2 linked regions of the Caenorhabditis elegans genome follow. The protein of the gene in region 2 interacts with the protein of the main gene of each other region in a pairwise test. Each region holds a gene or a part of one and is shown on either strand. Other genes may lie near its edges.

Region 1 (6,257 bases), on a different chromosome or scaffold from region 2:
CTCCGGGAAAAGCAGAAAAATCGAATGCTCGTCGTTTTAGCAGCAACTGTCATGGCTTTAATAGGGGCCAATATTGTTTATATTAGGTTCGTATCCTGGTTATTTAGCATTAAACTTAATCTGTAAACGTTTTTTTTCCAGGAAACTACAAGCGGATCGCCTTTCGAAGCCGGTTTAGGATTTTCATTGTTTTGTAAAATAAAGATTTTTACCTAGATATGATATTTTGATTCGAAAATTGTAAAATAATTGTGTAAAACTTCATTGAAAATCAATTAAATACTTGAAATTAGCTTGAAAATTTAGTGGAAAACCAGAAGAGTACTGTAAGCGAATGTCTGCATTGTTGCGTGCCGGCCGGTGTTTGCGTACTCTAAAAATTTGTTTTTTTAAAGAATTGTTTTAAAGCTTTAAAGATTTTTTCTAGCTTCCTCTTGTAAATACTACTTACTATTCCACTCGTGTTTATACTAAATTTACAAATTTCTCTAAAATTGAATTTGTTTCCTTTTTCTCTCTTCTCCCGCCCGGCTCTTCGAAAAGTGCACTAGTTACTCGCCAAAATTTCTCTCTTTTTTCCTTTTTTTTCCAAAAATTTCTCCCTTGTTCTTTTGACGAGTTTAACCAGTCGAGTCGCCGGTATAGTCAACATACACTAAATTGTTTGTTATAGTTCTCCCTGCTCGAAAATTGAGCACTACCACTTCGCAGGTGCGAAAACCAAAGAAAAAAGAGCCCTTTGAGGTCTAATAATCGTTGACTGCATAGTCCAACCAACTTCTTTCATCCAGAAAAAGGGCATAAATCACTCATTGTTATGTCGTAAACAAAAAAGTTTCGCCTTCTTTTTCTCGGCCAAATTCTTCTGGAGAAAAAAACTCGTATTTTTTCGGCAATTTGCAAGCTTTCAACTGTTTTCTGTTCTCGTATCATTTTCTTATAGTTATTTCGATCATAAAACTGAAACAAACTTTCAATTTTGTCAAGGGGTCAAACTTTTTCGGGCGCATGTCTTGAGATAATTGGGCTAATAAAATTAGTTTTAGACCCAGATGCAACATTTTTCTTCAAATTTGTATGTTTCTTGTTAGACATCGAAAACTCAGTTTTTTAATGACTTTGGAGAGATAATCGTATTTTTTCTGATCATGTTACTTTTCTAATGAACCACACCTATTTAATTGTCAATGAACGTATCACGAATAGGTTTCGGGTTTCCACATTTCCAAAATATGTAAGCGTAAGCCAAAGTTCTGTCACTTTTACACTTACTCTTCTGGAAACTGCTTTTTATTTAAAATTTTTTTAAAAAATTTCCTCGTTTAAATTAAAAGTTGTATTAATCAAGAGCGACAATTGCCGTTCGGCAATTTTTTTTGTCGAAAAATTCGGCGAAAAGCCGGTTTGCCGGAAATTTTTATAGGGATTTTTTATAAGCCGGAAACGCTTAAAACTGTGCCTTTTTGAAATTTTTTCCCGTCTTTTCTAGATATTTTCATAGGATTTGCTCCCTTTTCAAAATAAATTTAGGAACATTCATAGGATGCGTACAAATTTGCGGATTAAAATTGAAATTCTGAAGTTTCAGAAAAAATTTGCAAAACTACAATTTGCCGAACATTTTTGGCAGTTGCCGTTTTTCCGGCAAATTCGACATTTGCCGATTTGGCTGAAAAAAATCGTTTGCCGCCCAACCCTGATATAAATCATTGGAAACGTCTTCTGAAGTTGGACCCAAAACTCAATCTCACTTCGATCCCCCATTCCTATATTAACTAGACGAAAAATGATTTCGTAACAAATAATTCATCTATTTTTGCGGCGAACCGATTAGATCGGAGAGGAGTGGACACAATAATATGTCACCGCACTTTTCCTTCATTCTTGCACATCAATCACTCCGATTCTCGGCTCATCTGTGGGTGTGTGTGAGGCGAAAAAAATTGGATACTTGTTTCACATTCTCTCTCTCTCTCTTAGTCTTCTTAGTCCTGAAAAGAATGGCGCCGCTGCTGAGAGAAGGGGTTTCGTATTTCTGTGTTGGGTCTTTTTTCTTTTTCTCTATATTCCACCCCACCAAAACTCCCCGCCCCGCAAAAGAAATGTACACTCATTTTGTTGTATCTCTTTCTCTAATTCTCTCTCTCTCTCATTCACTCTCATTGAGAGAGTCGGTCAGAGAAAGACAACCGGAGGGATCCAATACATATGCGGTTTTCCGTTGATGTCTCTGCGTCTCTATCCGTCTCTTTTTCGTCTTTAGTTGCCTTTGCGCGCATAGTGACTACTGCAGAAGAGAGCAGCAGCAGCTCTGTTTCTACTTCTTCTTCTCCCAAACAACGACGACATTTGGAGCAAAGGCATAGAGCATTCATTTAGTTTGGCGGCTGGAGCCCTCTAGCATCTCTCTCTCTTTGTCTCTGCATCTCTCCAACGTCGTCAGTTTGCCTTTTTCCTCCTTCTTTCTCCCAATTTCAATCCCAAAAAGTCGTCGTCGTTTCCATTCTTCTTTTCTCTTCCACACTTTTGTGTGTCATCCGTTTTTCCTTCACCAAAACCTTTAAAAGTACCGATGCGTTTTGGAGAGGTGGCAATGGAGGCTGCAGATCTGCGAGTACCGGACATTCCGCTCGCCTCGTGTGATGATGATGATATCGATAGTAATAAGAATTTGAGCAAGTGAGTTTTTTTTTTGAAGCTGTTGGTGGGAGAGTGCAAAAAAAATCTTGAATTTTGCTGGATACTAGAGATTCCAAACTCCCTCACAAGTTGGAATTATGATCGTGAAGGCTTGTGATCCTCCGGTCATGTGTAGATTTACGCAGTTCGTGTACTCCGCGAGGAAAAGCGTACATTTTTTTGCAAAGGATTTAACAGTTTTTAGCAAGAAAGCAGGATTTCGGACCATACCAATTAATTTTTTTAAATCCGAAGTTTAAAACAGTGTTTTTAGGTGAAAAAAAATTACGTGATAAAAATATAGAAAACTAAAAAAAATAGTTTCAATTCCAGATTTTTAGTCAAAAATATAATTGCACACTTCTCCTCGTGGAGTACACGAGCTGCGTAAATCGACTCATGGCCGTTTTAGAGGTTCACAGTATTTTTCATCAGATATTTAGGTTACTGTAGCAATTTTTTAAGCTCTGGGCCTTTAAGAAATACTGTAATGTTGTATCAATATGAATATCCCTATTAAAAAATTTTAAATTCACTTTTTTAATATATATTTGGAAACCACCTTATTTATAAATAGGTTGTAGAGGTTTTTTTTGAAAAAAAAGCTTATTATCGAGCTGAAAAATTCAAATTAAGAGGGCATTTATTGAAAAAAAAATCGCAAAACTATAACTTCCCACTAGATTTTTTTGTAAATTCCTAGAAAGAACATCAGTGCACTTCTTTATGGTCCTTCGAATTCCTAGAGAACAAGAAAAATTCGCAGAAATTTTCTTTTAGTGCTTCCCTAAGTGTTTCTGACATACGTTCGATGGCCTCGTTATATCTTTTTTCTATTTCGAACATGCCAATAAAACTGGGCCCCAATCCAATTGAACGAGCCAAGTGTTGTAGAGCAGCAGCAGCAGAGGAGAGGGTACTTAAAAGCTCATCTTCTCACCCCCTCACGGCCATCCACACACACACACACACACACACACATACCCCAATACACATCCAAAAGATACACATTATCTAATTATCGGATCTTCATACTATTTGGGGGTCCTAAAGAGGATGGGGTGAAGCTGAAGAAATACATATTATGGGGACGCAGAAAAAATATAGAAAAATACGCTTTTTGAAATCGAGATGTAAGCGCGCTCCGCTGCCAAGTCTCTAAGTGCCCCGCCTCTAAACTTTGGGTCTCGTTAGGTATTTAGTGGTAAAACTAGATTTTTCGACTTTTTGTTATGTTTTATGTTCTTGTTTAGGATATTTTTATATCGAAATTGATGGAATTATAATTCACACTTAATAGAAAATATGTTATCACTTCTCAACTTCATATGAATTAATAAATATCATTTTGACATAAGAATCATGAAAAACAATCAAAAACGCAACACAATGTCGAAAAATTCATTGAATACGGATGAAATCGGTTAAAAAATAATTTAAAACGTTTGAATTTCCTAACGAGACCCGACGTTTTGGGGCGGGACATATTGATTTGTCGGTGGAGCGCGCTTGCACTTCACTTTCAAAAATTGTTTTCTATTCTGCGTATCCATAATATGAATAGATGAAAGGATAAAAATTAAAAAAACTTGTAACTTTCAGCCATTCATCAGACGAGAAACATCACTGCAACAGCAACAGCGACGAGGAACGTCTTCATGACGAGTTCTCTGGATCCCTTGAGGTTGGACTTCTTGCATTGTCACACTCTTTTCAACATTCTTTTATTTTCAGGACCTTGTCGGCAACTTTGACGAAAAAATTGCGGCATGCCTGAAGGACCACGAGGTGACGACAGCGGATATTGCACCTGTGCAGATACGTACTCAAGAGGAAGTTATGAATGAAAGCCAGTGAGTTTTTTGGATTTTATTTGTGGATTTAAAAAAATTGGTTGAAAAATTAAAATTTGGGATCTAAAATTATTTTGTTAAAGTTCCATAAATCGTAAAAATTCATAATTCTGTTCAGAATAGCACCAAAAAATTGTAGTTAAATCCAATTTTTTAAATTAAAAAGTAAACTAATTTATAGCCTTTTTTCATAAAAATTAGTGAAAAATGGAGCAATTTTGAAATAATTTCTACTTTGGAACGAATTAAAAAAAACTAGCCCGAAAAAAAGCCATGTGTCGATTTACGCAGTTCGTGTAATCCGCAACTAGGACAATTTTACAGTTTTTGGATAATATTCTTAGTTTTTGACTATTTTCGCAAGTTCTTTTTGTATTTATCATTCAAATTGTTAATTTTCTCGCTTTCCAACTTCAAATGACAATTTTCGTAGCAAAGGTCTCGCCCCGCGGATAAGTAATTACTGTCACTTCTGTCAATCGTCAGGTTTTTTTAAAATTCTTATTTAGATTAAAATTCACTTTTTTTCAACTCAAGCTACAGTAATTCGTTATCCGCGTGGCGAGTGAGGTATAACAAAAAATCTCCATAGTTGAAGTAAATTTAGATCCTTTTCCCGAAAACGCTATAAATCAGAAACGGCTCGAAAATTTGAATTCAAAAGTTTTTTCGAAACAGCAGTAAAACCCTCCTCGTCGTGGACTTCACGAGCTGCGTAAATCGACACATAAAGTTATAGTCATTATTACATAGAGTGCCTATAAACACAGAAAACATATTATTTTCTTCTAAAAATAAGAAAAATGGCCAAAACTCTCAACTATTTTTTTAAGAATTCAAAAAAATTCGAAATATAGTGAAAACGAGCATTTTGGATTTTTTTTTAAAAATTAGTAGTAAAACATAAAAAATTTGTTTTTGAGTTTTTCCAAAAATTAAGAAATTTCTAAAATTGCAGAACATGGTGGACATTAACCGGAAACTTTGGAAACATTCAACCTCTCGACTTTGGAACCTCTTCGATATGTAAAAAGATGGCCGCAGCTCTGGACAGTGATTCATTGGTGAGCAGAGGGTCCCCGGATCTTTTTGTTATTCACTTTGTCTTCCTTTTCTGTTTTTACTATTGCCTTCTTCCACCATCAACGTTCTTCTTGTTTTTCCATCTATCTTTTCCACTATGCTCATCTCTCACGCTCATCGTCTCCAGCTCCTTCCACTTGAGCATCAACACTTCTTCTTCTTCTTCTTTCTCTCTGTTCTCTACAATCGATTTATAGCACTCACCGGAGGAGTCAGAGAGACAGAGAGAATAAGAAGAAGGCGTCGAGAGCCGATGCTCAGAAAACTCTTACTATGTGGAGAGCGGTGTCCATTAAATACCACCCCTTCTTCTTTTTTTTTGGGCAGTTTTCAATTTCCCGGTTGTCATTATTTGAAATATGCGACTACCGTAATCATTTTCTGAAAGATCACGGGATTCCAATTTCCATCATGTTTGGAATGCGGAATTGACTTATTTCAGAGTTTTTAAGTTTTAAATTAAAAAATTTTAATTTTTTACATTCATATTTTGGGGAAAAAAATTAACAAACCAATTTGTTTAAAGAAAATGTTTGTTGTTTTCTTCAGAAGCAAAAGCGTCATCGAAACAGTTTCAATGTGGCTGACGAGAATAAACTTTAAAAAAATTTACTATTAAAAATGGGAAAAATTTTAAGCTAT
Region 2 (4,843 bases):
GTGATTCTTCTTACTTTTTCATTCCAAAAGCTCAATTAAAAATGAAAAAAAAACTGCACATGTACGTTGACTATAGACGCGTTAAAAGCAGGCTATGGTATTTTTGTAAATATGTGTCATTGTAAAAATTATTGTAATTATTGTAAATTAACCATTATTAACCATTATTGTAACCATTATTGTAAAAACAGACAAAGACATCATGATAATTTTTTATGAATAGATAATTCCAGTATAGTTGGTTCTTATTCACTAATTATCAAAACCAAGTTTTAATGCTCTTCAATATTCTGAGATTAATTTCTCCCAAATAATGTTATTTTGATAATGTTGCCTTCAAATTTTCTTTCAAATTCAAATTCAAGTTTATTTGAATCAAAGTTGTGATATATACAATAAATATGAATAAAAAGACAAAGCGCAAAAATTTATATTCCTGGTTGTGGTACATTAATTCCGCCGACAACTCCTGGTTGTCCGATAACTCCACCTGGTGCAACTCCTGGTGGTGGGATTGTTGGAAGTGTCGGCAGGCTCGGCAGAGTTGGTAAAGTTGGAAGTGTTGGAACCCCAATTCCTCCAATCACAGGTTGAACTCCTCCAATTTGTCCCGGCAGTTGTCCATTGAAACCTGGTTGCCCTATTCCAAGCTGTCCTTCCATGCCTGGTTGAACTGGTGGAGGAATTGGTTGGTCGTCGGCAAGTACAACACTAACGAGGAGAACAAAAATCATAGAGGAGTAGGACATTGTTTTCTGAAATTTAGGATTTTTAAAACTTTGTAATCGAATATTTAGAAGTGAGGTTATAAATTCTCAAACAAACCTTAAATGGCTGAAAATTAGAAGTTGATGATATCTGAGCCAATAAAAACTCATTTTATACCATCGAGAAAATACCGGTTGGATAACTTTTCGGGGATTCCCTCTTCCAAAACAAAACGAAAAAATCATAGTTGTTTAACGTTTGAACATTACTGTAATAACGGATATTCTCTATACACAGTGTTTCACCGATTTCTATGGGATTATGACGTGGTTCGGCAAATGTGGTTTTTGAAAACTGTCGAGTAAAAACATACGTTTGATGTTCAAATTGTTCAATGAATAATCCGATTTGTTAAAGTTCGAAGTGGACTTTGAAATAGGAGTTTAGAGGTGTTTGTAAAAATGCTTCAATATTTATTAAAAATGTCAAAATAAAACATTAAAGTTAGCGTTAAAAAGAGCAGTGGAACACATTACCAGTTTTTAGATGAAATACTGAACATCACATATTAAAATCCTTGGTTGTTGTTTCCATTGGATCCTTCCTGTCCACCCTGTTGTCCTTCTTGGCCCAAGCCTCCGAATCCACCGAACCCACTTGATCCACTTTGTCCTCCTTGTCCTCCTTGCATTCCACCGGTTCTAGTAGATCCTCCGAATCCACCTTGTCCACCTTGCCCACCTTGCTGACCTCCAAATCCAGAAGACGACTGCCCACCAAATCCTCCTTGGGAGTGTCCTTGTGTGTTTCCTTCAAATCCAGATTGCTGTCCCTGTCCACCGAAATCTCCCTGTTGAGAGTTCATTCCAAATCCAGATTGCATTCCTTGTCCACCAAATCCAGACTGTTGGGATGGTCTCTGAGCTGGGAATCCATTTTGAGAGTTTCCTCCAAAACCTCCGCCAAATCCTGATTGCTGTCCTTGACCACCAAAACCGCTTTGCTGACCTCCGAATCCACCTTGACTGTTACCTCCGAATCCTCCCTATATTTGTTACGTTTAAAAATTTCTAAACAAATTTCCTATCTAACCTGCCCGCCGAAACCAACTTGCTGACCAAATCCACCGAATCCTCCCTGTTGTCCTTCGAAACCACCCTGGAAATATTTTTTATTACTCTGTTCGTGACATCATGATTGCAAAACTAGTATCTGATTTAGTACTACGTCTTCCATGAGTCACAAAATGCCTGCCTGCGTGCCTAGTAACTACTATATCAGTCGCGCCGCTAGATATCAAAGACGACTGCAAAATAGGCGTAGGGAGCCTTCAAGGTGACCTAGGCATACGTGGAAGGCGTATGAAGCACTAAACGTTACCGGAGAATTTCCACTAAATCCTCCTTGTTGTCCTCCGAATCCACCCTGAAATTTTTAATTTTGTTTTACTTTTTTCTGAAACAGGTTTCTAGAGCTATGTTGAAAGGTTACCTGAGAGTTTCCTCCAAATCCACCTTGCTGTCCAAATCCACCGAACCCTCCCTGGGAGCTTCCACCACCGAATCCTGATTGCCCTCCAAATCCTCCTTGCATTCCTCCGAATCCTTGCTGAGATCCTACTTGCTGGCCTTGTCCAGTCTGTCTCTGACCTGACTGGCTTTGCTGATTTTGCTCATTTCCCGTTTGGTTCTTTTTTGCTTTTGGGGCGGCAAGAGCTGAGCAAACCAGAAGTGCAAGTAGTACAGCTTTTGAGTACATAGTGTTCTCTTCAAATTAGAAAGAGAAAATATGAAAAGTGAATAAATGATCTGATACGAATTCTCATTCGAACATTGTCTATTTTATATGATTTTGATGATGTAGATCATGAATGTGGGGGAGGTTTTATGCAAAAATTATTGAGTCAGAATTGATGTCGTACTCTGAATGTACCTGGTCTCAAATGAAACCAATTTTTCAGGTATTCCTCCCACTTGCGGATTTTGCTGTTCAATTTGTGATACCTGGAGTTCTACTGGCTCTTCTTCATGTTGGATTCATTCGAGAACCCGAAATTGATATGGGCGATTTGACAAAACAGTTAGTTTTAAGGCGGTGTTTTTCGAACGAATTCAGATGAAATAGTATTTAAAAATGTCTTCTAATTCAATTGAAATGTTGCCTTCCAGGCAGGCAAAAAGAAGTTGAAAACTGTAGTCTTAATTTCCAACTAATTTCCTTCAATTTCCGTTTATTTTCTAGTCTATTTCAGTTTGAAACTTTTCTCACCACCAATTTTATTCAATTCTATTAATTTCAGCAATCGTTTCGGAAGAACTCCTCGAGATCAAACACGAATTCTAATAACGACTGTAACAATAAGTTTTCTCGTTGTTCAAGTTCCAACTGCATTCATCACAACACTGTCGCTCACCATAAATCATTTTCAGAATAATAATGCCCGTGAGTCACAGTTTTTGTGGTGTTCTAAAGTTCAGTTTTTGCTGATCAAGAATTTTGAACCTCGTGTTTGAAGACACGTTTAATTTCAAGCAACCATATAAAATAAGCATCAAAACATGAAGTTCACAAGATTTTTCAAAACTAGAAAAGTCTGACCCTTTTGAATAGATGATGATTAAATATTAATGACCTATAACATCACGTGGTATTCCTCGAACTTCCGTTTGCTTTTTCCCGTTTCAATTTTTTAAATGAAAGATATTTGGCCTAGGGTGCACTCAAATTACCCGCCTATTAGTAGGGAACATTTTCAGAATTCGAATAATATAATTTTATATAGGTAATCAGGAATCGCGTAATGACAATTTTTCGACCATCATAAATTATATTGATACAGTAAGGACGAAATTGAATTCGTGTTTATTTTTATTTTTCAGAGGGTTTTCTCAATTACTTCTTCCTCTGGTTTTGAATTTCGTTGTGAAGAATATCAATAAAACAGATTATCTTACAGTAATGGTATTAGCATTGGTGACTGGACATCTGCAACCGCTTCTCTCCATTACAACAATGGCTGCTAACACGGCAGCACTTTTAACTGCTTATTATGTCATTGTCAAAGTAAGCGTCCTTTTTTATTAAAAATCAATTTCAACATTTTTAGGACGACGATGAAGATGTTGGTGATAGTCGTACCTCAATAAGTGACAATGAATGTCAAAATGAGCTTCTGCTTCGAGCTCAGCAATCCACGTCACGGCGTGGTACTAGGCAAGTGTGGAACAGTATCCGAAGGTATCCGCCATTCATTCAAACATGTTACGCACTGTTTTACTTCTCTTTTTTTTTGAATTTGTCTACTGGTTTGTGTGACTTTTTCAGTGTGGTTGATCTTGTTTTCGAGTGTTTTGCGGTGAACCTTTTTTTCAAACTTCAGGTATTTTCTGTAGATATTCTGCATTTTATTTTCTTATGTGACAAAAAATTTTAATAGTACATAGGTATCTAAAGATGCACAATATCTCCTAGAAAATACTGCTAATTGAACAAACTCCAAATCAATCTTGAAATTTTCAGAATATCTCGTACGTATCTCAGTGTAAGTCACTCATTTGACACTGGCTCTCTTCGATCATTTTCTCGTAAAGGATCTGCAATTGGAGACGATATTCTGTGATTTCAACGGTTCTTCGGCCAAATTTGTTTCGCTTTTCATGTTCATCGCGTGCTTTCGGTTTCGCTATGATATATAATTTTTAAAACAATTACTTATGATTTTTAATTATCAATGCCTTTTGTCTTTCATGTGTGAATTGAATGAAAATGAATTTTTGCTCAAAATAAGGTTTAGGTTACATATTTTTTTTTACAAATTACAAGAACATTGGCTAAAAAACCACAGAAAATATATGAAGTAGACTCAGTTTGAAACGTTCATTGGAATCGAATGTGCAAACTTTGAAATTTCAAGAAAAAATGTCCCTGCCGCGCTAGTCTGGAATCTGTAGAAATAAGCGGAGTGGAGTTCGACGACACACAAATTTATAATGCTCGTAGAAAAACTACCGAGACAAACGTGGATGGTAAAATATCAACTTTGAATCACGTTGTGTTCTTTTAATTTTCTTCCCACTAATTAGAACAACGTTGATTTGAAAAAGATAAAGTAAATTTACCCATGAAAATGTATTTC

Evidence for each region.
Region 1: the proteins of K01A6.4 (region 2) and unc-76 interact in a two-hybrid assay, tested with the Caenorhabditis elegans proteins (one large-scale study listed by BioGRID).

What each region holds. Positions count from the first base shown.
Region 1 is NC_003283.11:15,069,291-15,075,547, forward strand, and holds the start of unc-76 (UNC-76), read left to right. Parts: upstream 1-2,469; 5' UTR 2,470-2,593; coding exon 2,594-2,679; intron 2,680-4,281; coding exon 4,282-4,363; intron 4,364-4,413; coding exon 4,414-4,532; intron 4,533-5,490; coding exon 5,491-5,596; intron 5,597-6,257. Other genes in the region: dnj-3 (J domain-containing protein), read left to right, coding at 1-86, 142-178.
Region 2 is NC_003282.8:11,737,819-11,742,661, forward strand, and holds K01A6.4 (Glycine Rich Secreted Protein), read right to left. Parts: upstream 2,487-4,843; 5' UTR 2,467-2,486; coding exon 2,200-2,466; intron 2,134-2,199; coding exon 2,089-2,133; intron 1,867-2,088; coding exon 1,801-1,866; intron 1,754-1,800; coding exon 1,277-1,753; 3' UTR 1,171-1,276; downstream 1-1,170. Other genes in the region: K01A6.6 (G_PROTEIN_RECEP_F1_2 domain-containing protein), read left to right, coding at 2,669-2,787, 3,008-3,150, 3,665-3,771, 3,815-3,945, 4,228-4,327; K01A6.7 (Collagen-like protein), read right to left, coding at 429-749.